2 linked regions of the Diceros bicornis minor genome follow. The protein of the gene in region 1 interacts with the protein of each later gene in a pairwise test. Links are inferred from orthologs where the notes say so. Each region holds a gene or a part of one and is shown on either strand. Other genes may lie near its edges.

Evidence for each region.
Region 2: the proteins of EEF1G (region 1) and GET4 interact in a two-hybrid assay, tested with the Homo sapiens proteins (2 studies listed by BioGRID and IntAct, with this or other methods). The link is inferred for Diceros bicornis minor from reciprocal best matches to the Homo sapiens genes EEF1G and GET4.

What each region holds. Positions count from the first base shown.
Region 1 is NC_080770.1:10,510,418-10,526,394, reverse strand, and holds the start of EEF1G (elongation factor 1-gamma), read right to left. Parts: upstream 8,172-15,977; 5' UTR 8,143-8,171; coding exon 8,131-8,142; intron 7,033-8,130; coding exon 6,874-7,032; intron 6,189-6,873; coding exon 6,125-6,188; intron 5,968-6,124; coding exon 5,825-5,967; intron 5,164-5,824; coding exon 5,020-5,163; intron 3,681-5,019; coding exon 3,551-3,680; intron 3,160-3,550; coding exon 2,955-3,159; intron 1-2,954. Other genes in the region: TUT1 (speckle targeted PIP5K1A-regulated poly(A) polymerase), read right to left, coding at 9,416-10,563, 10,972-11,064, 11,232-11,342, 11,508-11,617, 12,230-12,699, 14,500-14,600, 14,782-15,097. UniProt on the Homo sapiens protein: Probably plays a role in anchoring the complex to other cellular components.
Region 2 is NC_080765.1:13,629,455-13,645,534, forward strand, and holds the start of GET4 (Golgi to ER traffic protein 4 homolog), read right to left. Parts: upstream 9,072-16,080; 5' UTR 8,174-9,071; coding exon 7,902-8,173; intron 7,412-7,901; coding exon 7,286-7,411; intron 7,075-7,285; coding exon 6,996-7,074; intron 6,616-6,995; coding exon 6,534-6,615; intron 5,966-6,533; coding exon 5,816-5,965; intron 1,736-5,815; coding exon 1,597-1,735; intron 44-1,596; coding exon 1-43. UniProt on the Homo sapiens protein: As part of a cytosolic protein quality control complex, the BAG6/BAT3 complex, maintains misfolded and hydrophobic patches-containing proteins in a soluble state and participates in their proper delivery to the endoplasmic reticulum or alternatively can promote their sorting to the proteasome where they undergo degradation.

The sequences.
Region 1 (15,977 bases):
GTATCTTTGAAGCAATCTGGCACAATGAGCCTGGAATGCCAGCATCAATATAGGAGAAGTCCCTCCCCCCATGGGAGGGGTTCTATTTGTTCCTTTCCAATTACAAAAATACATGCTAACTGAAGAAAATCATCTGCAATGCCAGCAAACAAGATACTAATTAATATTTTTAAGTATTTCCCACCGGTGATTTTCCAAAGATAACGTATATAGTTTTGCACCTTACACAATTTGTTCATTTAATACATTTCTGCAAATGTTTTAACGGCTAAATAACCTTCCACTGCATAAATGTGCCATAAATCTATTAAATCCCCTTACTGAAAGTTTAACTGGCTCAATTATTCATCAGTATAAATAATTCCAACAAACTCTAGAGTTAGAGACAGTTACCTTCCCTCCCTTTACAGATAGGTTAAGTGGTGTGACTTGCCAACAGTTACAATGTAACAGAGAATCTGTCCTTCAATCCTAGGTCCTGGGTTCCTTTCCTAATGCACACCAGAGCCTTTATCTGAGGAGCTTCAACATGTCAACCGCCCAAAAGGTGGGACTGAGGATTTTTTATCCACACCCTCCTAAACTGTTCCAACTTTATTATTCATGATCATGTGTCCACTTTTTCTAAGTAGCCCCAAGCTCTGAATAGCTCCTGAAACAAGTTTAGCTCGAAGGCCTTAAAAGGACTGGAATTAACTCTGGACAACTGATAGACAGTCTTGGTCTTTGAAGGCATGACCCTTGTGACATTAAAATTCCTGGGGAAAATCATCTTGCAGCCCAGCAGAGCACCGTGATGTTGTACCACCAATAGGTATTAATAAAACATTCTCCAAAGGATATAAGAAATGCAAAGTTTATTAAAGATTTTTAAGTTTACTGCCTGATTTATTTTCTGCCCGGAGTATATAGACCTAATATACGTGAAAATCTCTAGCTAATAATTAACAACGTCTGTGTTACAACAGCATATGAATTTGGGTTAGTTATCACAGCTTATTTACACACACCAAAAATCGTGCTCACTTTTGACCTGCCCCTGCGCCAGGTTCAAGGTAAATCATTTTAGTTCAAAACAAAATATATCTAAACAGCTGCATCCAGAACCTTCTTGGTCTTGTATTAAGTGCCTGGGAGTAAGAGCTCTGAGCTACACTCCAAGCTGCTCCCCAGATGGGGAAGCAGTGGTTCCTAACGGTAACCCTCCAGTACTATGATGTTTTTAAGTTACAACCCTAAGCACCACTATCATGCCCACCACCAGCACGAGCTCTTTCACACTGGTTTATCCCATATAAACCAGCCCGGTGGTGTAGTGGTTAAGCTGGTGCACTCCACTTCTGCGGCCCAGGGTTCTCTGGTTCGGACCCTGGGCACAGACCTACGCACCACTCATCAAGCCATGTTGAGGCAGCGTCCCACACAGAGCAACTAGAAGGATGTAAAACTATGACATACAACTATCTACTAGGGCTTTGGGGAGGAAAAAAGGAGGAAGATTGGCAACAGATGTTAGCTCAGGGCCAATCTTCCTCAAAAAAAATAAAAATAAAACCAAAAACGGTGGCGCAGCAGTTAAGTACACACTCTCCGCTGCAGCCCAGGGTTCGCGGGTTCGGATCCCGGGCGCGCACCAATGTGCCGCTTGTTAAGCCATGCTGTGGTGGCGTCCCATATAAAGTGGAGGAAGATGGGCACAGATGTTAGCCCAGGGCCAGTCTTCCTTAAGAAAAAAGGGGAGGACTGGCATCGGATGTTAGCCCAGGGCTAGTCCTCCTCACAAAAAAAAAAAAAACACCATTACAAAACAGGGAGGTCAAACCCTGTTGAACCCTAACAGACTGACTAGTGAAAGGCTGGATGGCTCTGGGAAAGGCAGAGTGGGTGAGCAAAGTAGAGGGAAAGGAGAACAAAGTGACCACAAAAAAGACATTCCTCATATTGCTTGAAATTTTCATGACTTGGGGTGGTGACTGAAGAAAGATTTGATGGTACAGAACCGGGCAAGTACTGGCTGTCCCACTTTTGTCAGCCCGAAAATCTCCCTTTTACTGGATTCTTTCTTCCAAGAACCCCCATATTTACTGAAAAGAGGATACAGACGACCACACCATCCGTTTCCTTTTTGAGGGGTTTAACGCTCCCAGTTTCGGAAATAACAAACCAGACAAGAACTATGTAGACACGGTCACCATCTTTTCTCTTAGTGAGCAATGTTTTACAGTCTGATTGATTAAAACAGCAAGAAGATAATCAAACAATTCTGACGTGGTGTCCACTGCTGCTTCAGCAAAGCAAGCCCAACAGAGCTGACACAAGGCCCCCTGCACCTTTTTCCAGCCTGCACCTCTCACTCTGTCAGTTTTGAGGGATCTCAAATCTTAACAAGCATGAAAAGACCAATTTACCTCCACACCGATTTCTGTGCCTGTCTACTTTCTTCGCTAGAAAGGGAGTTCCAATCTTGCCAAATACAAGATGTATTTAGAACTTGCTTTCTACTTTCAAAATTCACCCAATTCTTTTGGGTTGTTTTTTTGTGTGTGTGAGGAAGATCGGCCCTGAGCTAACATCTGCCACTCCTCCTCTTTTTTGCTGAGGAAGACTGGCCCTGGGCTAACCTCCGTGCCCGTCTTCCTCCACTTTATATCGGACGCCGCCACAGCATGGCCTGCCAAGCAGTGCGTTGGTGTGCGCCCGGGATCGGAACCGGTGAGCCCCGGGCCGCCGCAGGGGAGCATGCGCACTTAACCGCTTGCGCCACTGGGCCGGACCCTTAAAATTCATCCAATTCTTGATGATAAATTCAGAAAGTTACTTTTTTTGCAACTAAAATATACCTTTCAATTTTGTATGGACAACCTAAAATTCTGGGCCCTAGCTTGTGTGTGAGGAGGACACACAGAGACGAAAACAGGCCTTCTCGGGTCCCCTGCCCCCTCTGATATCCTTACCTCTTGGGCAGGTGAGCAAAGGGGTCCTTGGCCTTCGGCTCAGCAGCCAGTGCCTGCTCACATTCATCCATCTCTTCCTCAGGAGCAGGAGCAGCTGCCTTTTTCTCCTCTTTCCGCTCAGCCTGGGGCTTCTGCTTCTCCTCCCTTGAACCTTTCTCTTTCCGTGGGGTGTCCTTTTTAGGCTGGCTCTCTGCAAACTTTTTAGCTGGTGCAGAGGAAGGCAGAAGTGTCAGTGTCCTGCCTCCTTCCATATCCCCCAAAACCAGGCAGCACACAGGACAGCGGAAGAAAATTGTTGGACGGGCCAACTAAGGGATCTAAGCTCTACGCTGCCCTGCCACCAGTTCACTGGACATCCTTGAGCAAGAACACAACCCTCAGTAACAGATATGTATGCATCGTAATTATATATTAACACAAATGAGTGAGAGCACGTGTGCGTATAAAACAAGTTTCACAAAATGTTAGTTACCGCACACGATACTCTACATTCTGTGGGTCCACATAACCAGAAAGCTGGACAGGAAATCCAGGGGTTGAGACTGGGCAAACCATCCCAACCCTGGCCACATACTCTTCAACCTCCTCAGACTTACCATCAAACTGGGCCATCTTCTCACAGAGTTTCACCTCCCCCAAGACAGCCCGGAACTGGGGCTGGTTAATGCAGGTGAGGAACCAGCGATTGGTATTGGGGAAGGCCTGGCGGAAAGAGGGCTCCAGGACCTGCCAGGATGAAGGGTGGAAACAAAGTCAGTGGAGGGAAAGGTCCTGAAGTTTCAAGCCAGAGACCAAAAGACACTTGTTGCTTTCTATACCAAAGCTCCACCTTCCTCTAAACTCCTCAGACAGCAGCTCCCCAGAACACCATCTTACCCTGGAGGGCTACTTCCCATTTACCTTCCTAATCTTTTTTTTGCGGTCCAGTCCCATTTAATGGATGCTTGGTCCCACCTTCCATTTCCTACGAATCTACTTGGATTAATAACATTTATATGGTGGCTTGCTCCTTTTACAGAGCCATTTCACACCTAGAGTTTCCAATCTTTTAAATTTCACATGTCAATAAAATTAAAAAAAAAAAAAAAGGTTGGGACCAATAGAGGGCTAGCAATTACTCATTTTGGCAAATAAATAATAAAAACTATCTACATTAACTACATGATATACATATGTATATTACCATCAATCTTCAGAAAGTCAAGAACACTCAACAGCAAGAAACATAACTATTTCAGAACGGACAGTCCTTTAAATTAAACTTAGCTTCATGAAAAACTCATTTTCCTTTTTCTAGTTTGCCAAGATCAGAGGGAAAATAATCTTGTCATGGAGACAGAACATAGCAGTCAGCTCTGCTGGTTCTGCAGTGCTTGGGGTCAAACTCCACTCCACCACTTACTAGCTACAGGCCCTTGGGCAGGCTCCATTGTTCTTCACCCAGACAACAGGCAAAGACTCACTAAGATTATCCCCGTGAGGCCCTTGGCACAAGGTCTGGCACGAAGTAGGTGCTTTTTTCTTTGATGTCACGTTACTATTCTGGACCTGCATCAGTCCAAGAGCTGCTGTTTAGAAACCAGCACCAAGTCATCCTTTTTAACCCAATAACCTCAACAGTTGATTATCACTACCTTGATTTTATAGCTTACAGAGGATAAAAACAGGACTAAAGGAATTCACACACACACAGCCCTATACCTACAACTAGTAAGTAACGAAGCCAAGAAGTGAACCTAGTTCTGCCTCCCAAAGCTCTTGATGCTGAAACTACCACCCCTATCTCTGTCTTCACAACTAAACACAACTGGGCTTCCCAAGAAATATGGGAGCAAACTAAACATCTTAGCTGCCAAACAAAAACTAAGGCCAACAGAAGATTCCCCAACTTCTCAGGAGACAAAGCAGCCGTATCACTCAGTCCTGGGATTCCCAGACACTAGCTATTACCTCGGACTCCCTCACAAGCAAGTCCTTAGCAGAATACGGGGCAACCTGGAAGACCTGTCACTTCATTTCCAATCCCCACATACCCTCTGCCAACCTGATTCTTTATAAACTTCACCTGTTTATAGAGCCACAACAGGGTGCAAACAACTGTGATGTCAGCCAGTGTCACTCGTTCGCCCACCAGAAAAGTCCTCGTCTTCAAGTGAGCATCCAGCAGCCCCAGAATTCGCCTCACTTCCTCCTTTGCATTCTCTGTGGCCTATTGATTTAAAAGGATCAAACTTATCATTCAGAAAGTAAAGAACATTCAACAGCAAAAAAAGCCTAACAATTTCAGAATAGACAGTCCTTTAAATTAAACTCAGATTCGTGAAAAACTCATTTACCATTTTTTAGTTTGCCAAGATCAGAGAGAAAATAATCCCTTTCCCCCCCAATAAAGGAACTAAGGTAGCTTTTCAGTTACTGAGTCCCAGCCCATCCCTCCCCACCCCTTCAATGGAGTCAGATTCTAGGATCATTCCAAATGTATCACGAACTGAGCTCTCTCAGTGTTAAATTTCTTCATGGTGCAGTCTGGCTTCATTCCCAATGTAATAACCATAGCCCTATATCTTTCGATTCTTGAAGGAATCTTAGAGGTCATCTGATCTAACCACTCCCCCACCATTTGGTATATCCTTCCTACAGCAGAAATCGCTCTCTCCTCTGACCATGCATGACAGACACCACATCCACTGGGTCTGACAAAGAACCCAGATACCATCAACAGCCCAGCGCTCCAAACTTTCACCCCGAAGATTAGGTCTTCTCATTACCCAGATACTATTGGTACCTTTCTCAACCTATTTCTTAGTCCCCATCACTCAGGAGCTGATGTAGTCCCTGCCCATGGCTTCTCCCCAAGTTTCAAGGCTCACCTGCTTGTTGTGGTGCATGATGCCCAAGGTGGGGAACACCCAGGTACTGGCTGGGGGCACTATGTCACTATCAGCAAAGCTCACCCACTGGACCACCTGGGCTGCTGCCTCTGGAGTACTTCCCCGCAGCTCCTCATTGCTCACTGCAGAGGCAGAACAGAAAGGTCAAAACTTTGGAGTCATGCCAACACCAATCCAGGTCCCTGAAAATTCCTCTCCGTGTCCACTGTGGCTCACCCGCACCCTCTCCTACACCCCTCACCTCCAGACCCTCCCATTTCCACATCCACTGCAAATTACCATAGTAAGCAATGGCATTGCTCTCAAACACACAGAATCCATCATCACCCTCAAATGCTGGAACCTGGGGACAAAGCAGACAAAAGATAAGTAAAAAACACAGTCATCTCTCACTAGCCAATCCCAGGAACTGCACTGTTGTGGATACAAGTTTTTATATAAGGCTGACAACTCTTACTAACCAAACTCATCATACTATCTGAAACTCAGGAACCAAAAATACTTGAATAACTTGGTACCCCTTACAATCTGAACTCACACAAGAAACCCAAAAGATTTAGCTATCATCAAACATTTGTATAAAACTCCTCAATCAAATAAAGCAAAAGGCCAGAAGCCAAGTCTTCTATTGCTGTCTATATTATTCAAAGTATTATAGCACTCTACACACTGTACTTGGTCTCTTCTACTCTTAGCACAGTGATCTATCTCTGTAAGCCCCTTGGGGGAAGAATCCTGCTCAGTATATTTGCACTGAAAACAGTCAAAACTCATTCTCTCTCATAGAAACACAAAGTAAGCCTGTGAATTTTATAAAGTCACTGAATAGCACTGTATTATTTCTAACTACATGTGACTCTACAATTATCTCCAAACAAAAGTTTTTTTAAATCACCAAAATGTGAAAAAAAAAAAAAGATAACATGGAAAGCTCCCTTTTAAAAGATGGAGGCCATCTTCAAGGTGACAGAACCTTATGGCTCCTCGGGTTCTCAGGACCCAAGGCCCTTCTCCACTTCCCTACTCACCTTGCCGGCAGGAAATTTACGGAGAAACTCAGGGGTGCGGTTGGTTTGGCCAAAGTGGAAGTGGGGTGGTGCGGAGAGCACGCGGATCTGAGCCCCGCTGTACTGAGCGGCAATGAGGGCCTTGAAGGCCCTCCAGTTTTCAGGATATGTGTACAGGGTCTGTGCCAGAAAGAGGAGGCAAAGAAATATTAGTGTGAGTAGAAGGGTTCCAGTCCTAAGTGTCACCTCCCAGAATGACTTCCCTGAGTGATCCCAACCTGTTCAACCCACTCCTTTACTCCTCTGGTGAAGTGAATTCCTTAGTACCTGTCATGTGTAATCAGAGCCCTCCGAAATACCAGAGGACAGAACGACACATCAACTGCTAAATAAAGCTTGTTGACAGATCTGACCTTCCATAAGGACATCTCCAGAAGGATTCTCTTCCCCTCAAATCTATCTCCAAGAAATCCAGAAGTCCTAGGTCCCAAGGACTCCATCTGCCGCCAAGCATCCGCCCCTCCCTTCCCCGAGCCCTGGTTTCATTCATTGATGGTTTCCCGGTGCCTGCTACTCTACTGCTGAGCCGCTCACTCCTTCCTGAGCATCACTCTCGTCTCCAAGGCACACACACTCCGACCACGACATTCCCAAATTCCCCCCAAAATAGCCACGGAGATCTCCAACGGCATCTCCTCTTCCTAAATCAACTCGATCTCCCTAAAAAGCCTTTCTTTCCTGTCACGCGCACCATCACTCCCGTCCCGTCCCGCAGTGAGTTCCCTGGTGTTGCCTTTTCCCCTTCTATTAACCTGACCAGCGGGGTCCGACTGGTCTGACTCCACCGTCCGGAGGTTCCTCTCGCTCCCAAACCCCCCTGATGGATGACCCTTAACTGAGGCCAGCCCACAAAGACCCTCCTCTTCACCCCGTCCCTGCTGTTGTCCCACAAAACGGTCGCAAAAGTTCTGTCAACCTGCCCGGATCCCACGTCTCGAGGCGGCAATGAACCCGCACCCCTTGCTCTGGCCCCAGACGGTCAGGATCCGGCATGTTTTTTCTCCTCTGCCCCAGACCCTTCCACCTCTTTGGCCTCCGAAAGCCCCAGCCTCAGTTCCCCTCCGGAGCCTTGGAAGCCCTGCTCTCCAAGAGTACGGTCTCTAGATCCTGGGTCAGCCCCCCATTCGGCTCCAGAACTCCTCTGACGCCGGCTGGCCCCACTCGGGCAGAGGATGGCGTCGGATAGGGTGACTGGATCGCTAGAGCCGGCAAACTTACCCCAGCCGCCATGGTGATTCCGCAGAGAAAGGGGGTGGGGATCTCGGCGCTGCCGCAAAGTAAGCCGTCAGGGAGGGAAGGGAGGGGGGAAGGGAGAGCCGCGGAGAGACAGCAGCCGGAAAGCGAGGACGGCATAGAAGGCACACGCACGACAGTTCGGTATTCCGCGGCGACAGGCTTAGAAAAAGAAGGGGCGGGGCCTGCTGGCCTGCGCGGAAACGGCTCGCGCCTGCGCAGTGGGGCTCCTGGCTGGCCCGCCCCTCAGATACGGCCAATCGGAGTCCCGAGGTGGAGATAGAGGGCGCGGAGGGAGGGGAAACTGTGAGAAGTAGCTGGCAAGGCGCCCTTTGGCGGCTACGTGGCACAGCTGCCAGCCCTGTGCGGCGCCGGTCCCCGAGGAGGCGTTCTCTTGCGGCCTGCCGGGCCCGCAGTGTGATGCCTAGGGACGAGTGACTTGATGGCACGTCCTGCCAAGCCCCTAACACCATGATTGTGTGACACTCGCTGGAGCAGAAACAACTCCTGCGGAGGTGGCGGCTCGCCAAATTCCTTTTGTTCCCGCTGTGGTTTTCTAGCGCAGAGGACGTGTATCTAACCGGAGCCCAAGTCTGAAACCCTCTGTAAAAGTGGGGTTTTCTCCCATAAGCCACCTTGCAGCGCCTCGCTGTTACTACTTCGAGAAGAAGCGGCGCTAGTCCTGGAGCCTGCGGCAGAGGAGGGAGGGGCCCAAGGGAGAGCCCAGCCGCATCCCTTCCACCTGTCACCCTGGGGGGAGGCTGACAATTTAAGACAGATTCTGATGGGTTGCCCTTTACCCATGTTCAGGTTTGAAAATCTTTTCTCCAATTTAAGAACAGGATGAATTCTCCTGTTAAGTGAGAGAATGAAGCCCCTGAACCCAAATTTCAGGCCCTGTCACCATTCATAAATCTGGGAAGTAAGGTCAGTGTGGAGGCAGACTTGGTTCCTCTCACAGGTGCTACTCAACCCACCCACCCAGTACACCACAGTTCCAGAACTGAGTGGGCTCCAGGAGCCTGACTCACACGGTCCTAGGCACTCCCTGCAGTTGTGATAAATGGTACGCAGGACAGAAATGGGCTGCTGAGGTGGAGGAGCAGGGCGAGACCTGCTGTACTGGCCAGAGAAGGCACCTCTGAGAAGGTTGCATTACTTCTGGGGAGGGGAAGTACTGGGTGGGAAGAGGGTTATTACCGGGTAGAAATTAGAGGCAACTGTAGTGTTTATTAAACTAGCAGCTTTATTGCCCTTTAGGGCCCTGTCTTCACTTTAGGAGATTTCTAAGTGCTTGAGGGAGGAAAACCTGTAAGAAATGATGGAGATCAGGGAACAGGCCTTGGGCATCCCGGAGTGGAGTCACGGTGAGAGTGTGGTCAGCCTGGGAGGCAGCCGCCACAAAGGTCAGAAGCGGCTCAGCCTCTGGCCTCTGTTCAGCACTGCTCAGTCCTCTCAGCTCCTGGGTCACCCGAGCCTCAGTCGCCAGCCACTCTGCTCCTGTGCCAGCGCCACCTCCACCTCCTTCCTTGGTTTGCTGCTGCAAGCGTCTCCGGGCACGCCGCCGCCCCTGCCACACTCGGTGCCACAAGGCACAGCGCCAGCTCACTGAGGAGAGCAACACCCCCTTCCCTGTCTCACCTTGGGACCCTTCTCGGGCCACCTCAGGTCCTTGGGGCCCCTGCTCTGCCAGCGCTACATGGCTTGACTGCCCCTCTTCTCCCGTGGCTAGATGCTTGCTTGTCAGGAGCAGCTCCCCTGGCTGCCCAGGGCTCCGCATGGCCCAGTCCTGCACCGTCTCGCCAACCTCTACAACCATTTCTTCCACCCCATCTTCGCGGTGGTCCCCTGCACATTCCTGCTGCTCCTTCTTCCCCTCCTCACAGCTTTTTTCCTCTCCATCTAGTTTCAATCTTTTGCTTGTCCCTCCCTGGGGAGACTCCCCAGTTCCACCTCCCTCTGACCGCAGTCTCTTGGTTCCCTGTTCTATATGGCACCCCAATGCTTCTCTTAACACCTGGACCAGGGCAGCAGTGAGCTGGGTGAAGGGAGCAGCAGGTAAGGGGATGGGTGTTGCAGACAGCAGGGCACTAGGGGAACTGGGCTGCAGGAGGGGGAGCAGCCCCCAGTCCCGACCCCGGGAGGAACGGCGCTGGTACTGGAGGCTTCGGCAATAATTGGCTGCTGCTCGGCAGCAGTTCTGTAGCCGCCCGGCCACCCGGCTGGTCACATTGGCTGCCACATTGTGGCTCAGGTCAAAGGGGTCCTGGAGATTCATGGGGCCAAGGCGCAGACCCTCCCAGAGATTAGAGGGCAGGCCCCCTGCCACAGGCAGTGCCTGACCCTCCCGCAGGGACAGCAGTGAGCCACGAAGATCCCAGCAAGAGACGCAGGAGAAGAACTGGGCTAGCAGGGAACCTGGAGCAAGAGGAAAACCAGGGAAAAGGGCCACAGCTGAGATAAGCCCTGCAGCAGAGCCACTCCCTCAGCAGGACTTTCTTTTTCCCTTCCAAGGGGCTCAGAAGAGTGCCCAGAAGCCAGGCTCCTCTGATCCCTACACACAAGAGGTCAAGCCTCTCTCCCTGTGCCCCCAGCCACGTCCTGCCCCAGATGCTGCTCCTTCCCCTTGCTAACAGTGTAACCTTGGGCAAGCCACTTAATTACTCCAAGGCATGGTTTCTTCATCCGTCAAATGGCAATAATATTAGCTCTCACACGAGGTTGCTGTGAGAGCCATGCCTGGCACACAGTAACTGTGGGAGGTATGTTTCCTACTATTGTGATTAACATCATTTATTAGTCCTCTACCAGGCTCCCCAGACTCACTCAGGGGCTCCTTATTGGTGCTGGGCTCCAGTCTCGAGGCATCCCTGGGGAAGCTACAGTCCCAGCCATCAACCTCTACCTGTTCACCCTCACCTGTGAAAGTAAAAAAGGTGAGAGTCAGTCCAGAAGCAGGAAAATGGGGATGGAAACGAGGGTGATAGCAGAGACATCTGATTCCCAGGGTAGCTTAGTGTATCTAAGCGAGGTGAAGAAGAGAGAGAAAGCTAACAAGATCGAAAGTGGAGGCTGGGCTGCTGTACCTGCTTTCTGGGTGAGCTGGGCCACAGTGGGCAACACAGGAGGGTCCCTGGTCTGAAGGAAATAGATCACGAGCAAGGTCAGGGCGTAGTTATTGAGAAGGGGGCCACTCCCTGGGTAAATAATCAATAATTCCAGTTAGATTAGAGGTGCCTCCGATCCCCTCCTTGGCGGTTTTCTCAACCCCGGTTCCTGTACCTGCCTGTCTTTCTCTCCCTGAATCCCTGCCTTTGCCCTGACACCAACCCAGCCCCAAGTCTGTCTTGATTCATTCTCACCTGCCAGCCCTCGACCCTGAGCCCAGCAGCGGAGGGTGTACACGAGGGGCCGTACTCGTCCGTCCAGCTCAGAGCAGAGACTCAGGAAGCGGGAGTTATGCAGGGCCAGCCTGGGACAAAGGGAGACAAGGGTGTGAGGACTTGGGAACCCTCTGACCTATCATCCCCAGCTCTCACTCCAGACTTGCGCACTGGGGGCCAGCTGAAATAAGGCCAAAAGAGGGTTTCCAAAGTGTTTGCTGACACACTGGTCTTGTGAGAGGATGTACAAAACGCCAAATGTGTTTGGGAAACACTACATCCTAAGAATGTCTCGGACATTCACAGAGCATGTTATTATAAGGCTGCTCAGAGCCTTTAGTATGCAAAGCAACAAAGACAGGAAGGGAGGGAGAATGGGAGGACAGGAGAAAGAGAAGGAAAGAGGCAGTAGGGGAGGAGGGGGAAGGAAGAAACCTGTGCATTTAACTTAGCATTTCCCAAACATATTCAACCATGGAACTCTTTTCTAAATCTCTTAAAAACAGTATTCTAAGAAACACACTTTACGAACATTGACGTGGAAGCCAGAAAGGAGATGAGTGGCAGAAAGGGGGATGGGACCAAACAAGGATACCCTTGAGGCTCAGGAGATGCAGGACAGTCCCACACCAGGGCTCCCTCCTCAGCCACCCCAGAATGCTCAGCTGGCCTTCCCCAACCACCCTCTTAAACAAAGGTACCGGTTACTGAGGGAGACGTCACCGTGGAGACCTGAAGGCCGATGGCAGAACTTGACCACAGGACGTCGGGCAGAGGGCACTGTTTGGACTCGGTACACTCCAGGGACACAGCCCCGAAGAATGGATCCCACCAGCTCCAGCATGGCTACGCCCTCTGTTTTCTCCCCGTTCAGGGCCTCCGTTCGTTCCAGAGCCTTCCTCGGGTCCGCCTCGCCCCGGTCCTCCTGCAGTGGTGAGGCTGGAGGCAGGGACTGGGGAGAGGCGAGGGTCTCAGAGGCCAAAGCAGAGTCCGGAGTCCGTGGTGCCAGGGAGGAAGATGGGATTTCAAAGTCCAGGGCTTCTGAATCTTGGGGAGAGGTTGGAGGCTGCGAGTCTGGAGGGGAGGCTGGGGTGCAGGCCAGGGCTTGAGGATCCACTGGGGACGCAAGGGCTGAGTCCAAGGATGGAGAGTCAGGAGCCTTTGGGGCTGGCTGGGGATGGAAATGAGCTGAGTGAATGCTTCTCCTGCTGTACCCCAAGCCAGGAACATTCCCGTCCCCAAGATATATCTGTTACTTACTGCTTACCTGCCAGGCCCTATTCTAAGGGCTTTATATATATTAAGTCATTTACTCCGTACAATATTTTTTTAATTAAAAATAACCTTTTAATGCCATACAATAAATGGTCTGTATTCTGCAAAAATGTCATTGTAATGAAAGACAAAAAAAGGCAGAGGAGGGCCGGCCCTGTGGCTTAGCAGTTAAGTGCGCGCGCTCCGCTACTGGCGGCCCGGGTTCGGATCCCGGACGCGCACCGACGCACCGCTTCTCCGGCCATGCTGAGTCCAAGTCCCACATACAGCAACTAGAAGGATGTGCAACTATGACATACACCTATCTACTGGGGCTTTGGGGGAAAAAAAAAAGGAGGAGGATTGGCAATAGATGTTAGCTCAGAGCCAGTCTTCCTCAGCGAAAAGAGGAGGATTAGCATGGATGTTAGCTCAGGGCTGATCTTCCTCACAAAAAAAAAAAAAAAAAAAGGCAGAGGAACTGTTCCAGATTAAAAAAGACAACACAACAGTCCACTGTCAAAGTAGCTGACCCAATTGGAGAATGGAATGTAGATTAAAGTCTGGTAAAGTTGTACACTTGTACCAGTGTAATACTTCCTCAAATTGATAATTGTGCTGTGGTTGACACTAGAATATCTTGGTTCTTAGGTGCCACACACTGGAATAGTAAGAGGTATAGGATAATGATGGATGCCACCTACTCTCAAATGATTCAGAAAACAAAAATAATGTGTTTGTGTGTAGACAGAGAATGATAAAAGAAATTTTATTTTAAAAATAACCCCTTTTGCAGGGCAGAAGGTATCTGGGAACTTCGTACTTTCTGCTCAATTTTACTGTGAAACTAAAACAGTTCTAAAAAATAAAGGCTTTTAAAAACACAACCGGGCCGGCCCGTGGCTTAGCGGTTGAGTGCGTGCACTCCGCTGCTGGAGGCCCGGGTTCGGATCCCAGGTGCGCACCGACGCACCGCTTGTCCGGCCATGCTGAGGCTGTGTCCCACATACAGCAACTAGAAGGATGTGCAACTATGACATACAACTATCTACTGGGGCTTTGGGGGGGAAAAAATAAATAAATAAAATCTTAAAAAAAAAAAAAAAACATAACCCTTGGGGCCGGCCCAGTGGGACAGGCGGTTAAGTGCGTGCACTCTGCCGCAGCGGCCCAGGGTTCACCGGTTCAGATCCCGGGTGCACACCAACGCACTGCTTGGCGAGCCACGCTGTGGCAGCGTCCCATATAAAGTGGAGGAAGATGGGCATGGATGTTAGCCCAGGGCCAGTCTTCCTCAGCAAAAAAAAGAGGAGGATTGGCAGATGTTAGCACAGGGCTGATCTCCTCACAAAAAAAAGAAAAGAAACATAACCCTTTCCTATTCCACAAGCAGATAGATGTCAGAAAATACAGATGAGCAAAAACTTAACCCAGAAATTACCTTATTGTATGTCCTTTTATATATATTTTTTCCAAAATAAGACAAGATACACACCATTTTGAAATCTAGTGTTTTCCTGTTATAAATGCTATCTATCCCATGTCAATTCATTTTTATCCTATTGAGTACCCAGCCACATTCACATTTCTCCAATTACAATAACCCTGTCAGGTGGGTCCCACTGTCTCCATTTTACAGATGAGGAACTGAGGCATGAGAGGTAACTGCTTGCCCAGAGTCACATGACACTTCCCAACTGCCTCCCTGGTCACTCACCTGGGGCTCTTCCAAGTCACCCAGATCCAGGAAGAGGTCAAGATCACAGCCGTGGACGTCGAAGCTATTTATGGAAGAGCCAAAGGGATGGACCACACAGCCTGGGTGCCGAGTGGAGAATAAAGGTCAAGAGACATTGGGAAGAGTAGAGGGTGGAAGGACATACTGGGGCATGAAGGAGGAAGAGCAAACAAACACACCACTAGCTGAGGGGAGACTGGGCGCAGACGCAGGAGAGGGAAGGACAGGGAGGGCACAGACACAGTGAGGGAGGTGACTTACCAGGGAAGAACTCTGTGAAGACCTCCTGCATCAGGGCCACCACGAGGCTCCGAAGCTGCCGCTCAGCCTGGGACAACTCCCTCAGCCCCACGAGCTTTACCATTTGTGCCCCCACGTCAGGAGCCTCAGCGAGTGCTTTGGCCAGCTGGTGACTGTCGGGGGCCGCTCCCTTGGGGGATTTGGAGGCGGGGCTCTGGAACTCTTTCTGCTCCCGTGGTCGGACCCGCAGGCGATGTCCTCCCAGGCTGTGCTGGGGCTGTGACAGGACAGCTTCCCGGGCACCCACATCCCCCATCTCCACGATGGCAAACACTCCCTGGCAAACCACAACAGGGGCAGGGATGATGGTTTTGGAACCAAGAATCCAGACACACAGTCTGATAGTGGGTGGGAATCTTTGAAGTGGGGACCACCCTATAAATTGAGAATATTTGCTTAATGTTTCTGTAACAACAGGGAACATATTTAGAAAAGCAATTCTCTCCCTCACTTCTATCCCACACATTTTACTCTCAGCCCAGCTTGCCTCTGAAAATCTCATTTGACTTGTTTCATCCTCCCCTCCTCTTGCCAGTAATGTGATTTCACTGCTATACCATGACCCATCAATCCCCTAACTTTTCCTGCTTTAATTAGACTCTTAATATTGATTAAGAATCCATGTAATGAGCACTGTGCTAGGCATAAATACAAACACATAAACCCTATCTTTGACAAACTTACCATCCAGGAATAACAGCAATATGACAGCATGCTGCTATGATTTGGCTGAGTTCAATGAAATTTTTGGGCCATGTTTTTTTCAAAAGGTAAAATGTTAGCAGGAGCAGGAAAAGATATGACTGCTTTGGGGCACAAGTCCATATTCTTTCATATTCTCTTCAGTGGTAAAGCTAAAGCCTCATCCTACCTATAAAAAGGTACCCTCCACAGTAATCAAGACAGTGTAGTAGTGGCATAAAGACAGACATTCATATGAAGGGAATGTTATTGAGACTCCAGAAATAAACATGTACATCTATGGTAAACCATTTTCAACAAAGGTGCTAAGAACATTCGATGGGGAAAGAACAGTTTTCTCAACACATGGTGCTGGGACAACTGGACAGCCACATGCAAAAGAATGATGTTAGACCCCTACCTCACACCATATAAAAAATTAACTAGGGGGATGGCTTCGCCACTACACAGGCCTG
Region 2 (16,080 bases), on another chromosome or scaffold:
GAACACCACCGACGCACTGCTTTTATTTTTTAAACAGAGAAACCTGGAAATAAGGATATCCTAGTAAGTGGGAATCCTGAAGAAGGAAGAAACAGGGTTTCTATAAACATTTATGTGAACATTGAACACAGAATGCCACTGCAGGCACAGAGAGCCTCAGTGGTTACAGCCACCACGTGTGCGGGCCTGTGACATCCTCTCCCAGGCTGTGTGCCATGTGGCACCCATGGCCGGAACAACAGCTCCAATTACTGAAGGCCCGCTGAGCCAGGTTCTGTGCTCACACAGGCTGCCCCCGGTGAGCACAGCAACTCTGCATTCTCACAATTTGCAGGTGAAGAGAATTAAGCTTGGGAGGGTGACGCATCCAAGGTCAACAGGGCTCTGAGGGGTGAACTAAAACCTCCATTTTCTCTGCACCCATTAGGCATCTGCCTGCGTGAGCAGTCACCCCAGGTGCCCCGGACACCATGCTGGGCATGGGGACAGGCTCTGGTCTCTGCCCACGGGGGACATCTCCACAGCTGGACTCCACTGAGGTGCCGGCCCTCGATAATACTTTCTTTTTAAGGCATAAAGAGGGATCCACGAGAAGGGGTTTAGTGATCTCACACGCAGTGCCAAGTTCAGTCCAGAGAACGTATCTAAACAATATGCCACAAAGCCAGGGTCATTCAGTTCTGTATTTTAAAAAATGTTTCATTTTTAAAGTCAACGTCAGCAACAAATAGTACGCTCAGAAGCTCCGAGGTGCTATAAAGTACAGCAAGTCGTTGTGACCCAGCCCCCTTCAAATTCACAGAACACTCCGACCCAACGCCCGGCTACCAGATCAAAGTGTCTCTGTGGGAGGAAATAAACCTCTCCCCGTGACACATCTCCATCAGGAAGGGAGGATGGGCCCAAGTCGGGAACAAGCAGAAAGGGAGGCGCTTGGGCGGGCGGCCCTGCCTGATGTGGGCGCTCACTGCACAGCCCACTCAACCGTTGGACGTTTCAACATCTCAAGATGACTGCTGGAGAGAAAACGGGATGAGGAGGCCAAACGGGAGCAGAGGGACAAGACAGGATCCAGTGGGAATGAACGCTGGCTGTGAGAGGCGCTATCCACGTAGTGAAGCGTTCAGATGCACAAACCTCTGGAGAGAACAGCATAGCCTCTGATAGCCTGCTCACCCCACATCCCCAGATACCAGGTGAAACTTACTAAAGACGTGTGTCCTACAAAAGAAAGGTTGTCTGACACTGAAGAACCCCCAAAACATAAAAGAGTTAATAGGGAAAAACAGAAAATCGATGGTAACAGAAGAATGTTAATTTAAAACATTAAAACTCACTTCTTTTACTGCTCAATTGAAATCTTACAAGTGCCTGAGAATTCCGCTGGCTTAAGAGAGTTGAGAGGGACAATGTCTGTTGTCCCCAAGAGGTCTGCAGCAGGGGTTGCAAGGGCAACACTCGAGTGCGACCCTAAGTGACTCAGTGATTACCCTCCCACGTGTCTCGGTCAGGTGATGAGGTGACCAGCTCAGAGGCTGCCTCTGGAACCCCACAGCCACTGAAGCAAAGAGGCAACAGGTGCACACAGGTACCTACTGTAGGACAGCCTGGGCCACAAACATGTCCACCTCGCTGCGGAATCCCCTCGAGGTGGAATATTCCACCAGCATGTTGGCACAGCCTTCACCGTCAGTGGAGTGCAGGAAGTGATATCGAGATTCACAATAATTTTGTTCTATGAAGGCAAAAAGAGAAACCCGTCAACACAGACGTATCACAAACATGACGTATCAGGGGGCCTGAAAGACACCACTGCACACTCCCCACGCACCCGCTCTCGTTCTGCACAGCACTCCCCCTGCTCACACCGAGTGCAGCAGTGTAGACAGCGCACCGTCCTGCACACGGCAGCTCCACCAACATCTCACCAGCCACCTCCAATCCAAAGTCAAATACAAATGGCCAGACAGGGCAGGTCATTCAGCTCAGCTGAGTCATGCCAGCTGCCCCGCGTTCCCACATCAACATTTATATCAGCCGAACCGTGAGAAATGGCCAACAGGGACAGACTCTTTTGACCTACACGGATAGCAATTTCATACAGACATGATGAAACGAAATGCAAAATCCTGACACCAAGTCCACTGACCCCGACACACAAGCACCTTGAATCCCAGAGGAGCAGCCAGGACCGGGTCGAGGCCCGCCTTTCTCCCACAGGCCCGTAAGTCCGCCAAGAGCCCGCAGCCCCGCTCCCAGCCCATCCGCTCCCGCTCTTTCTTCTGCAGCACTTTCCACCCTCGAACAGACTCTACACTTGAGTTAATCGCCATGGTTACCGTCTGCCCCCCTCCACAAAGAGCTGAGTCCCATGAGGCCAGGTCTCATCGAGGCCGGCATGGAGCAGGCACCAGAGAGAAGCTCCTCTGGATGCAGGGCTGCTCATCCCACTGGGAACAGGACCAAAGTGCCTGTGAGAACCAATGGGTCCTGTATGCGGCGGGATGGTGGCGAGCGGCCTGTCTCTCCCGTCACCACCACCCTGGACTTGCACCTCTGATTTGTGCCCAGTAGAGGCTGGACTGTCCCCACTCAGGGCGGGGTCACCTGCGAGCTGGTCAGGAGGGTGGACTCTCCAGCCCTGAACTGGACCTGCATCCTAACAGCTCACTCGTGTGCACAGTCAAGTCTCAGTGGCCCTTTCTCAGTCCACGTGTCCCGTGGCCACACCTTTCATCAAGGCGCCAAGTTGCAGTGCTCACAGAGCGAGAGGGGAGGAGGATGTGAGCCCACTAGGGAACACGTGTCCTCTGACGCTGAGCTGTTTGAGCATCTCTGTTGTCAACTGGCTGATGGTCCCGACCTGCCCATTGCCAGTGGGCGTCAGGCTGTGAACTGGGCCTCCCATGCCACTCTGCCCCCCGCTCACCACTCACAATGCCTCTGCTCTTCTCCCACGTGCTGCCCCCTACACCAGCTCCTCCCATAGTGATTTCACCCCCGACACAGGACACTTGGCAATGTCTAAAGACGATTTTTGCTGCCACAGCCGTAGGTGCCCTTGGCATCTAGCTGGAGCCCAGGGACACTGCTCAGCACCCTGCAGTGCACAGGACACCCAGAGAGTTGGCAGCGCCAAGGCAGAGACCTGGTTCCAGGCCGAACCACCACCAGTTCCTGCTCAGACACCCCAGCTCCTCCAGGTCACCTGCCCACAGCCCGGCCGTCTCCCACAACAGACCGATCACCCCCTGCCCTGCTCACAGGCCACCCTGGCTCCCACTCATCCTTCCAGGGTAAGGTGCCGTGCCACCCGCCCCAGCCCGGCCCCGTGTGCCTGCTCTCTCCCATCTGCTACTGAGAACATAAGTTCCACCCAGGGAAGGCAGCCCCGCCTGCCCTCCAGGGCTCTGCATGAGCGTGGCACCGCCCCCACCACCTAAAAGGCGCTCCTAGCCTGGCATTAGCTCTTGGCACCCGGCTACTGCCTTCAGGAAACTCAGAATGATACGGAGTCAGCGTTCCTTTCTGCAGTCGTGTTTCGTTTGTCTCCCTTCTCTCCCTCCAACCCACAAAAATAACCTTTTGGTTTTAGAGCATCCACATGAGAAGAAAAATGAGGCAGGTAACTAAGCCCAGAAGTTCACGCCGGCATAGGGCCCCCTCGGAGCCCTGGAATGGAACCTCAAACACCGCATGTGGCGAGGAATGTGAATGGGGGCAAGTCGTGAACCCCAACCAACAAGGCGCAGGCAGTGGCCCCAGGACGCCCAGCAGAGAGCAGTTCTGGCCTCATACACCTGCCTGGAGGGGAGCCCCATCACTGCCTTTCTCAGGCTGGGCTCCCGCAGACACCCCCAAGCACGGCCCCTCCACACGAACTGGACACCCACACAGAACACTGCACATCTCTCCTGACAGTCTGTGCTTGAAGAAGAACATTCAACTGTCTCTATCCTGAATATTTAACACTGTAACAATAAATACACATCCTGAACCACCGAGGCCGAACCATCATGGTTCGCACATTCTGCTTCACAGACGCAGGGTCCCCATGGGCCCCACAAACATGGGCCGGGCAGGAGGGGTGTGGAATCAATGGTTGCTGGTTCCCACCTGCACATGCAGGCCCGACTCCTCTGGAAGACTTTCCCCACTGCCCTGTCGGGCCAGCCAGCAGATGGCCACGTGGGCTGCAGAACGGCACTTACCAGGCGTCCCGCACTGAATAAGACGGACTAATTCTGAGGGCAAGAGGGCGTGCCGGGGGAGACAGACAACAGCCGGGAAATAAATGGGCGCTGTGAGCGAGTAGCAGGAAACCTACGCTAATGAGGATGGCCCGGACGGGCCATGGGTGACATCAGGTGAGTTCTCAGGGATGAGGAGGAACCGGCTAGAAGCGCTGGGAGGAGGCTGAGTTTGGAAGAACGAGGCGCCCATGGGGAATGTGTGGCCAGAGGGAGGAGGGAGCCCGCTGGCTGTTGTGCCCGAAGGCGCCAGCTGCTCTTTCTCAGTAACGTTTCTTTTCTGGGTTAGAGTTGGGGGAGTGACTCAGCCACATCCTCTAAGAAGAGCTTCCTTAACTTTCTGGACTTCGAATTCTCTCAGGTCTGACCCATTATTCTCATTAATGTCCCTCTGGGGTGAGGGCAGGGCTGTGCCAACACCCAGAGGGACAGAGGAGCCTCACACCCCGCCTGCCACAGCAGGCGGGAGATGGCGAGTGGAGCGTCACCTGCCCCGAGAGAAGAAGGGACAGGCGAGGAGTGTGCTGCTGGACGAGGACCTGTGCATCAGCCCCACGGAGAGCAGAGGGAGGAGCACGCCCTGGGGTGGCTGGCTTGTGGAGCAGACAGACATTTACCCCATCCCCTGCCCCGAGTCAGAATGGCCGTTCCAGGAGGGCTGGCTGTTGTGGGTGCTATTCACAGGCTCATCTGCACTCACGTCCAGAGGAGAGGTGCCTTCAGCCCAGACCCTCTGAACTCTGACAGCTTCAAGCCTCGAGGCCCCGCCCTCTGCGCCGCAACGAGTCCCTGACCAGCATCGCCCTCTCTCCACTGGGCCCACCAGGTGACGTCCAGTGAGATGGGCGCACACACTTATATCTGCAACCAGGGCACGTGGAGGACCCAGCGAAAGCAGCTTTCTAAACCCCACCATCAGCCATCTTTCTAGTCACTCAACCAGCAGCTCCTCAGTGCCCTTCCCTGTGCCCAAGCAGCAGGCTCGGGGCTCGGGACATGCTCCCCACCCTCACGGCCTGACCAGTCCCCACAAATGCTCATTAGAAGATGTGACAAACGCTAAAAAGAAAAAACAGCGCCTGGCGCCGTAAGAGTGCTGGTCTGGAGGGACGTCTCAGGAAGGAGGACCCGTGGTGGGAGGAGCGAGGCCGCTGCCATGAGGACTCACAAGCCCCTGAGAGAGAAGGGGGCAGCCAAGGAAGGGTCACATGTGAAGGGCCAGCCCAGCGCGGCCGCCCTGTCCTCCCCGCTGCCTCGGCGCTTCTCCTTTGAGCGAGGTGACTCCACCGAGAGGAGATCCGCTATCAAGGCACAGACATTCACATTTAGCAAGACAGAAAAAACCCAGCCCGCGTTATCTCCGAGAGCAGGATCTCCCCTCCTCATCAGCTGTGGCAGATGATTCCAACCAATTAAAATGGAAAAGCAAATAAAAGCCAAAGGAAGCAGAGAGAGGGACACCTGCTCCCTGGACCAGCTCGCTCCCAGCCCTCTGGGAAGGCCCTCGGGCCGCCCACTCCCACACTTCCGAGAGCCGCTCTGCGCATGGGCTCACCAGGGCCTACCTTTCCACAGGGTGAGGGCCAGCAGCTGGTGGAGCCGGGGGTGGCCCAGTTTCCCGGATCCTCCACTGGACCACTTCAGGGCTCTAGACACAAAGGCCACTCGCTCCGGAGAATTTGGATCCATCAAACTAAACAGTTTAGCCAGATTTTCTAAAAACAACACAAACACAGACTCTTACCCAAAGGAATACACCACTTCTTCGTACAGTGCATCTTACAAAAATTCATTGGAAACAACAATTATTTCACTGCAGTAGAAAGCTGAGAAGCAACCTGCGTGTTGGTGGTGTCCCAGCGTACCCCCATGGGTCCTGGTGCTGTTGGGGGCCACCCCCAATTGACCTCCCCGCAGCAGTACCAGCAGCCACTGCTCCTTTCTGGCCTCACGGCTTAGCCCGCACTGGGGAGCTGGGCGGAGGGTGGGCTGCGGTGGGGAAGTGAAGCACCAGGCTGGCAAAGACCAGGAGCAGGACCCCTTCTTCATCTTCCCAGCTGGCAGCTCACAAGATGGGCTCCCCAACTGCATGCTCGCCAGAAAGGACAGGCCAGCAAGCCAGGTCTCTGAGACAAAATGACGCCCCACCTTGCCCACTGGCTGGCTGGGAGGCCATTGTCCATCAGAGCAGTGGACAGTATAGGTGGCTCCCGTGTGTGTGTGTGTGTGGCTACGTGAGAGCAGCCATGAGACCGTCTCGAGTGCACAGTAAGAAAGCCTCACCCAAGAGCTCATCGGCCACCTCGACGTCTGCCTTCTCCAGCGACTCTAAGACCAGCATGGACAAGTCTGCAGCACTGTTTTGCTACAAAACATGGAAACGAACAAGAATCCCACAGTTAGAAACAAAGCTCTGGCCGTTTTCAGAATGCACGGCAAAGCGAGGCAACTGCTCTGGGTTCCAGGTAGAAACCTGTGACAGAACAAAGCTGAGAAAACTCTTCTGAGCAGCGGAGTCACTTAGCAACACAGCCCGGATAGCTGACTCCCAGCCTGGGGTACACCCACAGAGAGCCGGGGGCCCTGCATCTGTGCCCCTGGACCCAAGGACACTCACCCAGCTGCAGGCAGAGCGGCCAGCACCAAGGACAGCCTGAGGTCATCCACCAGGTCTCTCCCTGGACATTCCCACCCCAACCCTCAGGCCCCAAGCAAAGAAGACCACGGGAGAAGCCCGCTGCTCACCTGGCCGTGGCTGAAGAACAGTAGCGCTCCTGAGCACATGAGCTCCCGGGCCTCTGCGTGCTTGTTCTGTGACATGTACCTGCAACGGAGACAGAGGGGAGCAGAGCGCCAGTCAGGGGCAGCTACCCACAACGCTTCACGCAGATGCCCCCAGAGTCTAACACACCCCTGAGTTCTGTCCGCCAAGCCACACAGGGACGGTTTCGGAGAGCAGATGCAAAGATAAGGCATCTGCATGAATGTGCGAGCATTATGAAGCTGGCGATCCCAGACACACACACACCTCCCACCAAGAACGGAAACAAGGCTGTTTTCTCTCCTGAGGTCTGCCGCCGCACCGAGTGGTCAAGGCACCCTGCCCCTGGGGTCTGTCCAGGCTCCACACTGGGGTGTCCCACAGCCCAGCTCCCCCTGGCCTGCATGAATCCCCATTGTCGGTGATCTGGGCCTCAGGGGACCAGCAGACCTGTGCCCCCTGCAGCATAACTATCTGATAACAGTGCGGGTGGGGGACCCTGCCTGGGCCCAGAAAGGCCTGGAGCCTGAGCAGCGCCTCCCTGCAGCCACTCCAGGGTCTTCAGCAGAAGGGAGGACTTCCATCTCAGGCACAGGCCTTGCCATGGTGGCAGGTGCTGCATGAAGGGGCGGGTGATGCACCCTCATCCCCTGGAGAACCACAGGTCAGGAGTGAGGCAGGGAACAAGGGACAGTGGGAGCTCAGCACGGAGGCTGACTGGGGGACAGTACCCACAGTAACTGCGTTGACCTCAGTGTCGGCTGCCAGACCACGTGCCCCCAAGCCCCCTCCCTGTGCTCCCCTCTGACTTCCTATGGGAGGCACAGGCCTGGGTGGGCGCCATCACCCTTGGTCGTGCATCACCCTCCCACTTTGAACATGTTTCTCACAAAGTACAGGAGCTGGGAAAAGCTGGTTTCCTGAACTGCAGAGGGACGGAAGCACAGAGCAGCAAGAAGCCTGGCAGGTAACGTGCAGACACAGAACAGAAAGGACGACGGTCCACCTGCAACAAACAATGTTCAGGGAGCAGACCGGGACTGAGCTGTTGCGTGTGGCACAGAGCCCCTGCCCGAGACAGAGAGTGTGAAATAGCAGAAAACGGCTTCCCAAAGCGAGGCACAGCCTCCAGTGGCAGCCGGCACAGCTGGCGCCAGAACATTTAACTCACCGGCTGTGTATTTATCTCAGTGATTATCAGAAAAGAAACATAACCAGTCAACCAAAACTGTGCCTCCAGCCCAAACAAATCCAGTTCAGGAGAGAAAGGAAGTAAGCCGTGGACGGGCACTCTCAGGACACGGCAAGCGCCGGTGCTGGCACAGGGGGCTCAAGGCCGAGCTTCCCCGGAGCACACCAGGGCCACAGTCAGGGGGGAATGCGAACGGCTGGCTGTTCCATTAACCACAGAAAAGGTCTTTTCTTCAAAGAGGCTCCGCAACCAGACACCCCCAGGAGAACACAGCCCCACTCCAGCCAGCACGCAGGGATCCAGCTGGCCCGGACACATGCCCCCATCTGGCTGTACAGAGGTGCGACTGGGAGGAAAAACCTGCATCCCAAGAAAGAAAACCACTGTCAGCCCGCAGGTCACCAGCACAGTCTGTGGTTTCTGCAACAGCGCCGCTGGGGCGGAGTCCTTTTCTCTCTCACACACGCGGCCTGCTCCCACAGCAGCCCAGGTCATCCCAGTCTAATCCTACGGGAGCCGCCCTGCACATGACCTGGTCCCAGCACCGCCATGGGGTGTTCTGGAAAAACAAGTATTCAGAGGTGCACAGCCTCATGCTGCCACCTGCACACACACAGAACTGTCGGCATTTTTCCTAAGTGACAACCACGCCAGCTTGTCTTGGCTTATTCATGACACGACAGAGTTGTAGACTCTTCTATGTGAGGTATAACAATAGAAAACCTCTTAGAAAACCAGATGAAAGAAAAAAAAGTCCCTGAAAAGCAGATAAAATTCTTGGGATAACGGAGCCTGCTTTCAGGAGGCAGTGATCGTGGCCCGTCTCAGGGCACGGAAGCCCACACAGGGGAGGGGGGTGGTGACCCGTCTACTGAGCACACACGCCACCAGGATTCCCACCAGTCATTCCCCACCCAGTCAAAGTCGCTGCTGCAGATCAAGGAAAGCTGGGGCGGGGGGGGGGGGCGGGGGGAGACAGTGAACGGCCACTATGAAAAATGAACGTGCTTCTTCCTGCAGAACTTCGCAAGTGGGAAGGGATCTGTTGAAGGGACTGACCAGGGGTGAGGTGCCCTCCAAGGCCTCAGGGGCTGGGAGCAGCCGGAACAAGACCCCTCCAGCACAGCGCCACCCACGCAGCCCCTCGCCTCTGCAGCTGCGCGTCCACACCTGCGCACCGTCGAAGTTGGCCTCTGCGTCCCCGATGGAAGGACGTTCCAGGCTGGCATGTGCCGGTGCTATCTGCCCACCAACTGATATGGCAGCAGCACATCTTTAGCCACACAGGATCACGTCTGTGCAATTATTCTAGTTTATTTTGTTCTTATTTTTTAAAAAAAGAGAGCAGAACATAGAAATGGAAGCAGTAATATCAGTGATAAAAACTGCAGATGTCAAATTAAGAAGACAGAGGTGTCAAAAGTCTCCGCTAACTGAAGCCCTGATGCAGCGGGGCTCAGGCGAGCTCAGCAACCCCGCCTCAGGGTCGCCCCTAGAACCCGGCTGAGCTGACAAGGCACAGCTGCCCATGTCCTAGCCACCCCTTCAGGAAAAGTCCACCCTCCGCATGGGGTTGCAGAGAACACGCGTTTTAAATTTTCCTTCTAAAAACTTCTTCATTCGACTTAAGAGGCAAAAGAAGGTTACAGGCCACAATCAACAATCAACACGAGTCTCAGGAGGGCCCTGTCAGTAGGAAGCCCCGATTTCAGTTAACTCACAGCGGGCCTGGGCCAGCTGCGGAGACCCCTTGAGGCGACAATGGCAGCACGGGGCCACCATGCCAAGCAGTCATGCCAGCCTCGGGGTTTATTTAACCGAGTACCAATAAACCAACAGGACGGGAAAACAGACTCCCTCCTCGTCCTGGCGGAGAGAGACCTGAAGAGACAAGGTGACCGCCCACTGCCAGCAGCACCACTGACGAGACAGAGCCAAACACAGACGCCCTGCCTCCAGCCCAACCAGCTGGACCGGCGACTACTGCCCACTCCTGTGGAACAGCCCCCCCCCCAAGTCCAATCTGTTGGATTGTCCAACTCCTTCTCCTAACCTCCTTAAACTGCTGTGGGATATAATGTAAGGGAATTAAAATAGTATAACTTGGTAAATGTATCCAACACGTGAATGGATAAATGAACTGGTCCATCCACACAACGAAAGACCCCTCAGCAATGAATGAACTGCTAACATACACATGGATGAATCTCCAAATGACCACGCCAGATGACTTCAGATAGAAAAACAGGACCTACTCTGTTATTCCACGTCTATAACATTCCAGATAAAAAAAAACAATCTATCATGACAGAGAGATCAGCGGTTGCCTGGGGGCAAGGGGTGAGAGATTGATTATAAAGGCAGATGAGAAAATTTGGGGGGGGGGGTGATGGATATTTTCGTCTTGCTTGGCAATACTGTCACAGGCCTGTACATATGTCAAAACTCACCAAGTTGTACATTTTATATAAATACTTAAATATAGATATATATATTTGTAAAAAGACATTAAAAAAAGACTAAAATTCAATGAATTTGACTTCTCCAGGAGTTAACCATTGTAGAGGGCTCTAACCCAGGGCTGGCATCATGGGTCTCAACACGGTCTGTACCCTGGAGGGACAGGGACAACTCCGGGCTATTTCTGTTAGGCCTCCAGGATGGCCACAACTGCCACCGCTGACCTGGTCCACTGCATCCCCCATGAGGCTGACGGCAGATTGCTAACTTCTCATCTCTCCTGGAGAACTGTAGGAGTAGCCCAAATGACACACGAGGAAGCCAAGGCTCAGAGAGGAGCAACAAGGTGTCCCGGGTCACAGGTCATGGAGCAGAAGTGGACTGTGAGCCCAGGTCAAGGCTGGGCTGGTGGAGAGCCTGATGTTCATCACCACCCCACAACGTCACCATGAAATGCATCCCGGGTGGAGGGACTTACCACTTTAAAGCTAATCGACATTCACGTTCCTCATGTAGCAGCCACTGCAGAACTGGCTCAAAACAAGGAGCACCGTGTTTATTTCTGGGATGATCCAGTTTTGCTGATTAATCACTGGGGCAAATATTTATATATATACAAATCCCCAAGAACAGCAAGCACTGGGGCAGACCTTGAGCAGACAAAAGCTTCCCGTCACAGATTTCTGACTGGCTGAGCCGCCTGGCGGGAGGCTCAGTGTCACAGAGTGTAATGCCCACACACATCTTCCTCATTCCTTGAAGAACCATCAACTCACTCCTAACTGGTCCTCTGGGCCACAACGTGCCACATTTAACCCAACCAAATTGGTAAACTACAACCAAAGCAGAAAGCACCACTAGAGTTCCCAAGATATTGATTCAACTTGCTATTTGAAGAAAATTTTAAAATCTAGGCCTAAAAGGTATAAATGCCCGACCCACTGCCCTTAAATATCTTACCAAAACATCTGCTGTTCTGCGGCAGTTGAGAAAGAAAACGCACTCTGTAGAACAGATTAAATCCTCTAAAACTATCTTTAATACATACCCAAGTTCTAATGAATCGCCCAATTGTTTTCTGGTTCCAACTATAAAGGATCACAGATGTGTAATTCACAAGAATGTCTCACACGTATAAAAACGATTTATGGCAGGGGCTGTGTGACAGCAGAAATATTGTGACACACTGCAGGCCAAAAAAATTAATGCAAGCTACACAGTTCGTTGAAAATTTATAGGGCCACACTAAAATAAAAACCACTTTATTTAACCCAGTAATATACAACCATCGTTTCAACATGAAATCAATGTTTTAAAAGTTGCAACGAGTTATTTCACGTCCTTTTTTGCACGCAGTGTTTGAAGCCCGCGTGTGTCTACACTCACAGCCCGTCCCACTTGGGACTCACCACGTTCCAGAAGCTCAGAGCCGCACGTGGCCAGCGGCCAGCGCACTGGGCAGCGCAGGTACGACACCATCAGGGTAATAAAAATAGCTGGTTTAGTAACAACACATAGCATGCGGGTGAGCAAGAGCGACCAAACAAGCAGAGAAACGTGTTTAAACCCTCACGACTGAACTCCTTGTGGGAGGAACCGTGAGACTCCGCGTGGGGGTTTCAAAGGCAACGGCGCTAGGGGCTCGACGGTGGGAGAGCCGGGGGAAAGGAGAGCGGGGTAGAGGACTCAGGCCGGGAGGTCAAGGGCAGGGTCCGGGGTTGGGGGTCTGGGGTCTGGACAGGGGTCCAGGATCGAGGGCCCATGGTCTGGGTCCGGAACCGGGGCTCCGGGGTTTGAGTCCAGGGTCTGGGTCCGGGGTCGGGGGTCTGGACAGGGGTCCGGGATCTGGGGTCTGGGGCGGGATCTGCGGTCCGGGGTCTGGGCCGGGGTCCGGAGCCCTCCCCGGGCCGCCGCACGGCCGCGCGCTCCGACCCTCGGCGACAGGCAGCGGCGCGGGCCAATGGGGGGCGGGGGCGGGCGCCGGCGGCGGAGGCCCGGGAAGGCGGCGGTCGGCTACCTGAAGAAGAGGGTCCGGTACATCTGGTGCGCCTCGTAGTAGTCGCCCTTCTCGACGCTGGCGCGCAGCTTGCCCTCCACGCGCTGGACGCCGCCGCGGTTCCGGGCGCCGTTCCGGGCGCTCTCCTGCTCGGCCATCGCAGCCGCCGCCATCGGGCCGGCGCTCCGCGCAGGGCTGACGCTGTCGCAGGCGCGGTCGGCAGCGCCTCTCGGCTTCCGTCCCGGCGGCCGCCCGACGCCCTCTACGGTGGCCGCGAGGAGCCACGGAGCGCTGGGGGCCGGCGGGCGGACGAGCGGCCACGTGACCGCGGGGCGGGGGCTGCGGGGCCACCACGTGACCGCGGGGCGGGGCTGCGGACCGCGGCTACTTGACCTCAGGCGGGTGCGCTGACCTCACAATGGCGAGCGCACGTGAGGGCGGAGCGGATAGGCGCGGCGGAGGAGAAACTGAGGCTCGGGAGTCGCGGCGCTGCCCTACCCCCAGCCCCCCAGTGCCCGGGAGGGTAGTCGCGGGTGAGGCAGCTGGCGTTCCAGCGACCGCCGACACTTGAACCGTCCGGCCGCTCCAGCGGAGTTTCGGGCGGGCCGCCCGGAGGCCTGGGCGCCGCTGCAACCGCCCGCCTCAGCCGTGGCGCGGGCGCGCCCGGTCGTCAGCCCCGCAGACGGAGGCTCTCGGTTCCCAGCTGGTGCCCGCGGTGAGAGCCCGGGGGCTGTTTGAGGAGCAGTCCTGCCCTGAGAGGGGCCCCGAGATGCTCTGGTGACAGGGAGGGGGGGCGACAACGGCACGTTGAGTGTGCCATCGTTGTGTCAGAAACGGAGGGGAAGCACGTGTTTAGGTTTTTCCTCATACACGCGTGTTTGCAGAAGGATAAGAAAGTGGTGACACGGTGATAGGAACGCTCGTCCCGGGGCAGCTGGTCTGGGGTAACCCTGGCTCGGCCTGAACTAACGCACCTCCGCCACGGCCTCAAACCCAGCCCGTCCACCCCGTGCCCCCGCTGAAGCCAGGAGCGCGGGCAGCCTCCTCACAGGGAGGCACGCGGCGTGAGGAACAGCGCCCCCGCGTGTCTGACGCGCACCCCTTGTTCTAAGAAAGGAGAAACGAATGGAAGCTACGCTTCCCCCGACGTTCTCCCTTTGTGGAGCCGCTTTCCCGACGGGTCCCCAGCGGGGCTCGGCGGAACCCCACCTTCTCGCTCCTCCAGAGAACAGCCGGTTACGGGTCATCTGCCTGGACAACCGGTTGCCCCTGAAAATCGACAGACGGGAGGTGGAGGCAGGAGGGAGCCTTCGCGGGCACCGCTCTCTCCGGGGACCTTGGCGCTCGAGTCCTGCCACCTGCCCCGTCCAGCGTTTCCTCAGCGTCACTCCTCCCGCTGTCCCGACCCCCAGTGTCACCTCCTCAGAGGGCTGCCCAGCCCCTTCTCTCGTGGCACGTGGGCCTCCCTCAGCTCCGCCCTTGCTCGCAGTGACCTCCGCGCGGTGCGGCACACACCGGCATCCGGTAAACACGGAGCGAACGAACTCTGCTCCGGCTTGATGGGGAGCCGTGCCAGCGCCCACCCTCAGCAACAGCGGCCCAGGGACAAGCGCTCCTCCGAGGAGACCCATCCCCTCTTCTCCCAAGTTTCTCCTCAAGCAATCTTCTCTGCACTGCAGCCTGTTCTCCACGTAAGGTGGCCATGGCCCAGGGTAAAGCTGGGGGAGCTGTGTGAGGACACGTCTCCATTAAAAAGCCCGTGACATAGAACGTGGCAGAAAGAACAGGCACATCTAGTCGTTCCTCCCCCAGACCTCCACGGGCAGAAACAAAAGCAAATTGAGAAAAGGGAAATATACTGTTTATTGTTCATTTGAAATATCACATGCACTTTTAAAAATTAAAACTCTTTATTTAAACATTTCAACAGCATCTTATTAATTTGGTGGCAGCAAAGGAAGGACTAACAAAGACAAATATTTTGAAAAGCATTTACAAAAATACATTGCACAGAGTCCTATCCTGCATCATTAAAAATAAATTAATATTCAAAATATTTCCACCCAACTCCCAAATTTAGTTTTATATAAGAAATTTTGATTTATATATTTATCCTGTAATATATGAAACATCTGTATACATTTTATCCAACTTAACTGCATAGGCATTAGTTCCAATTCTAAGAGTGAAAAAAATGCTACTTTATGTAGTTTTTGTATATTTGAGGACTGTTGTGCAATATACATAAAACTCTTAAGAAAACCAGTCAGCACCATCATTTTATCTTTTTCTGAAAATACAACATTTATGGTACACAAAAAAAACTGTCTTAACCCAATAAAACTTTAAGGTAAAACATCTGTGACATTTGACGTGCCTTGCAGACACCTCATTTATAAAGTCTGCTCAATGAAGAGTCAATATTAAATATTAATTATAACCAAACGAATCTCTTGGGAAGTGAGTGAGAATGGCCGACAGTCGCAATACAAGGCAAACCCCACCTGCACCGGGAGGAAGCACAGCTATGAGAACAACGATAAGCATAAAATGCAACAGTTTCAGGAATGTGCCGCACCGGACAACCTCCTTTGATAACCATCAGTGGAATAAAAACAAGCCTCTGAAAGATTTAGAGCATGTTAGTGTTCACTTTTCAGCAAAATTCAAAACAAAACCTGAAAACACCCGGAAGGTTGGATTTCTTGGTTCCTATTCACACTGTGGAAGGAAACCTCCGGGTGGCCCAGGGGGCTGAGCCTGGTGGGGCACCTGAGAACTCTACGGACGTGTCTGTTGGGATCCAGACCACCCCCTTCAAATCAGACTCACTTCAGCTACGACAGAATGAATGGATATTAGCACACTGAGTCCTGACTCTGAAAATCCTTCTCAGAAGTAGGAGCAGACTAAGCAGAAAAACCCATTTCTGTTATTTCCCCACCTGGTAATTTAAAACAACTACTGGTGCTGAATAAAGGAGAAATACATCCTAAAGGAAAGGAGTGCTGAGTTCTGAAATTTGGTGACACTTTTTGCCTGAAAGAAATGTGTGCTGGATTGAACAGCTGTAATATATCTGCCCCCAAAAGTCCTTTAAAAGGGCTGCCAAAGGCTAAATATCAAAGCTTCAAGAACACTTCAAACATTTTAACTTCATCTGCTCTGTTCCTGATGTCAAGAAAATAAAAAGAGCTTTACGTTCAAAAACAAATCTCCAAAACAAAGTGAGTAGACTTCCACAGAGATCGCCCACGGCTGACGGATCTCCAGGAACCCAAGTACTCAACATGCAGTGTTTTCTGTGGACAGAACAGCAAGCCGGGCTCAGAGCCTTCCCCGCTTCCATGTCCACGTCCTCCTGCTGGCAGTTGTAACATTTATTTAAGGGGTGATGTGATCCTGTTGTTCTACATGCCTC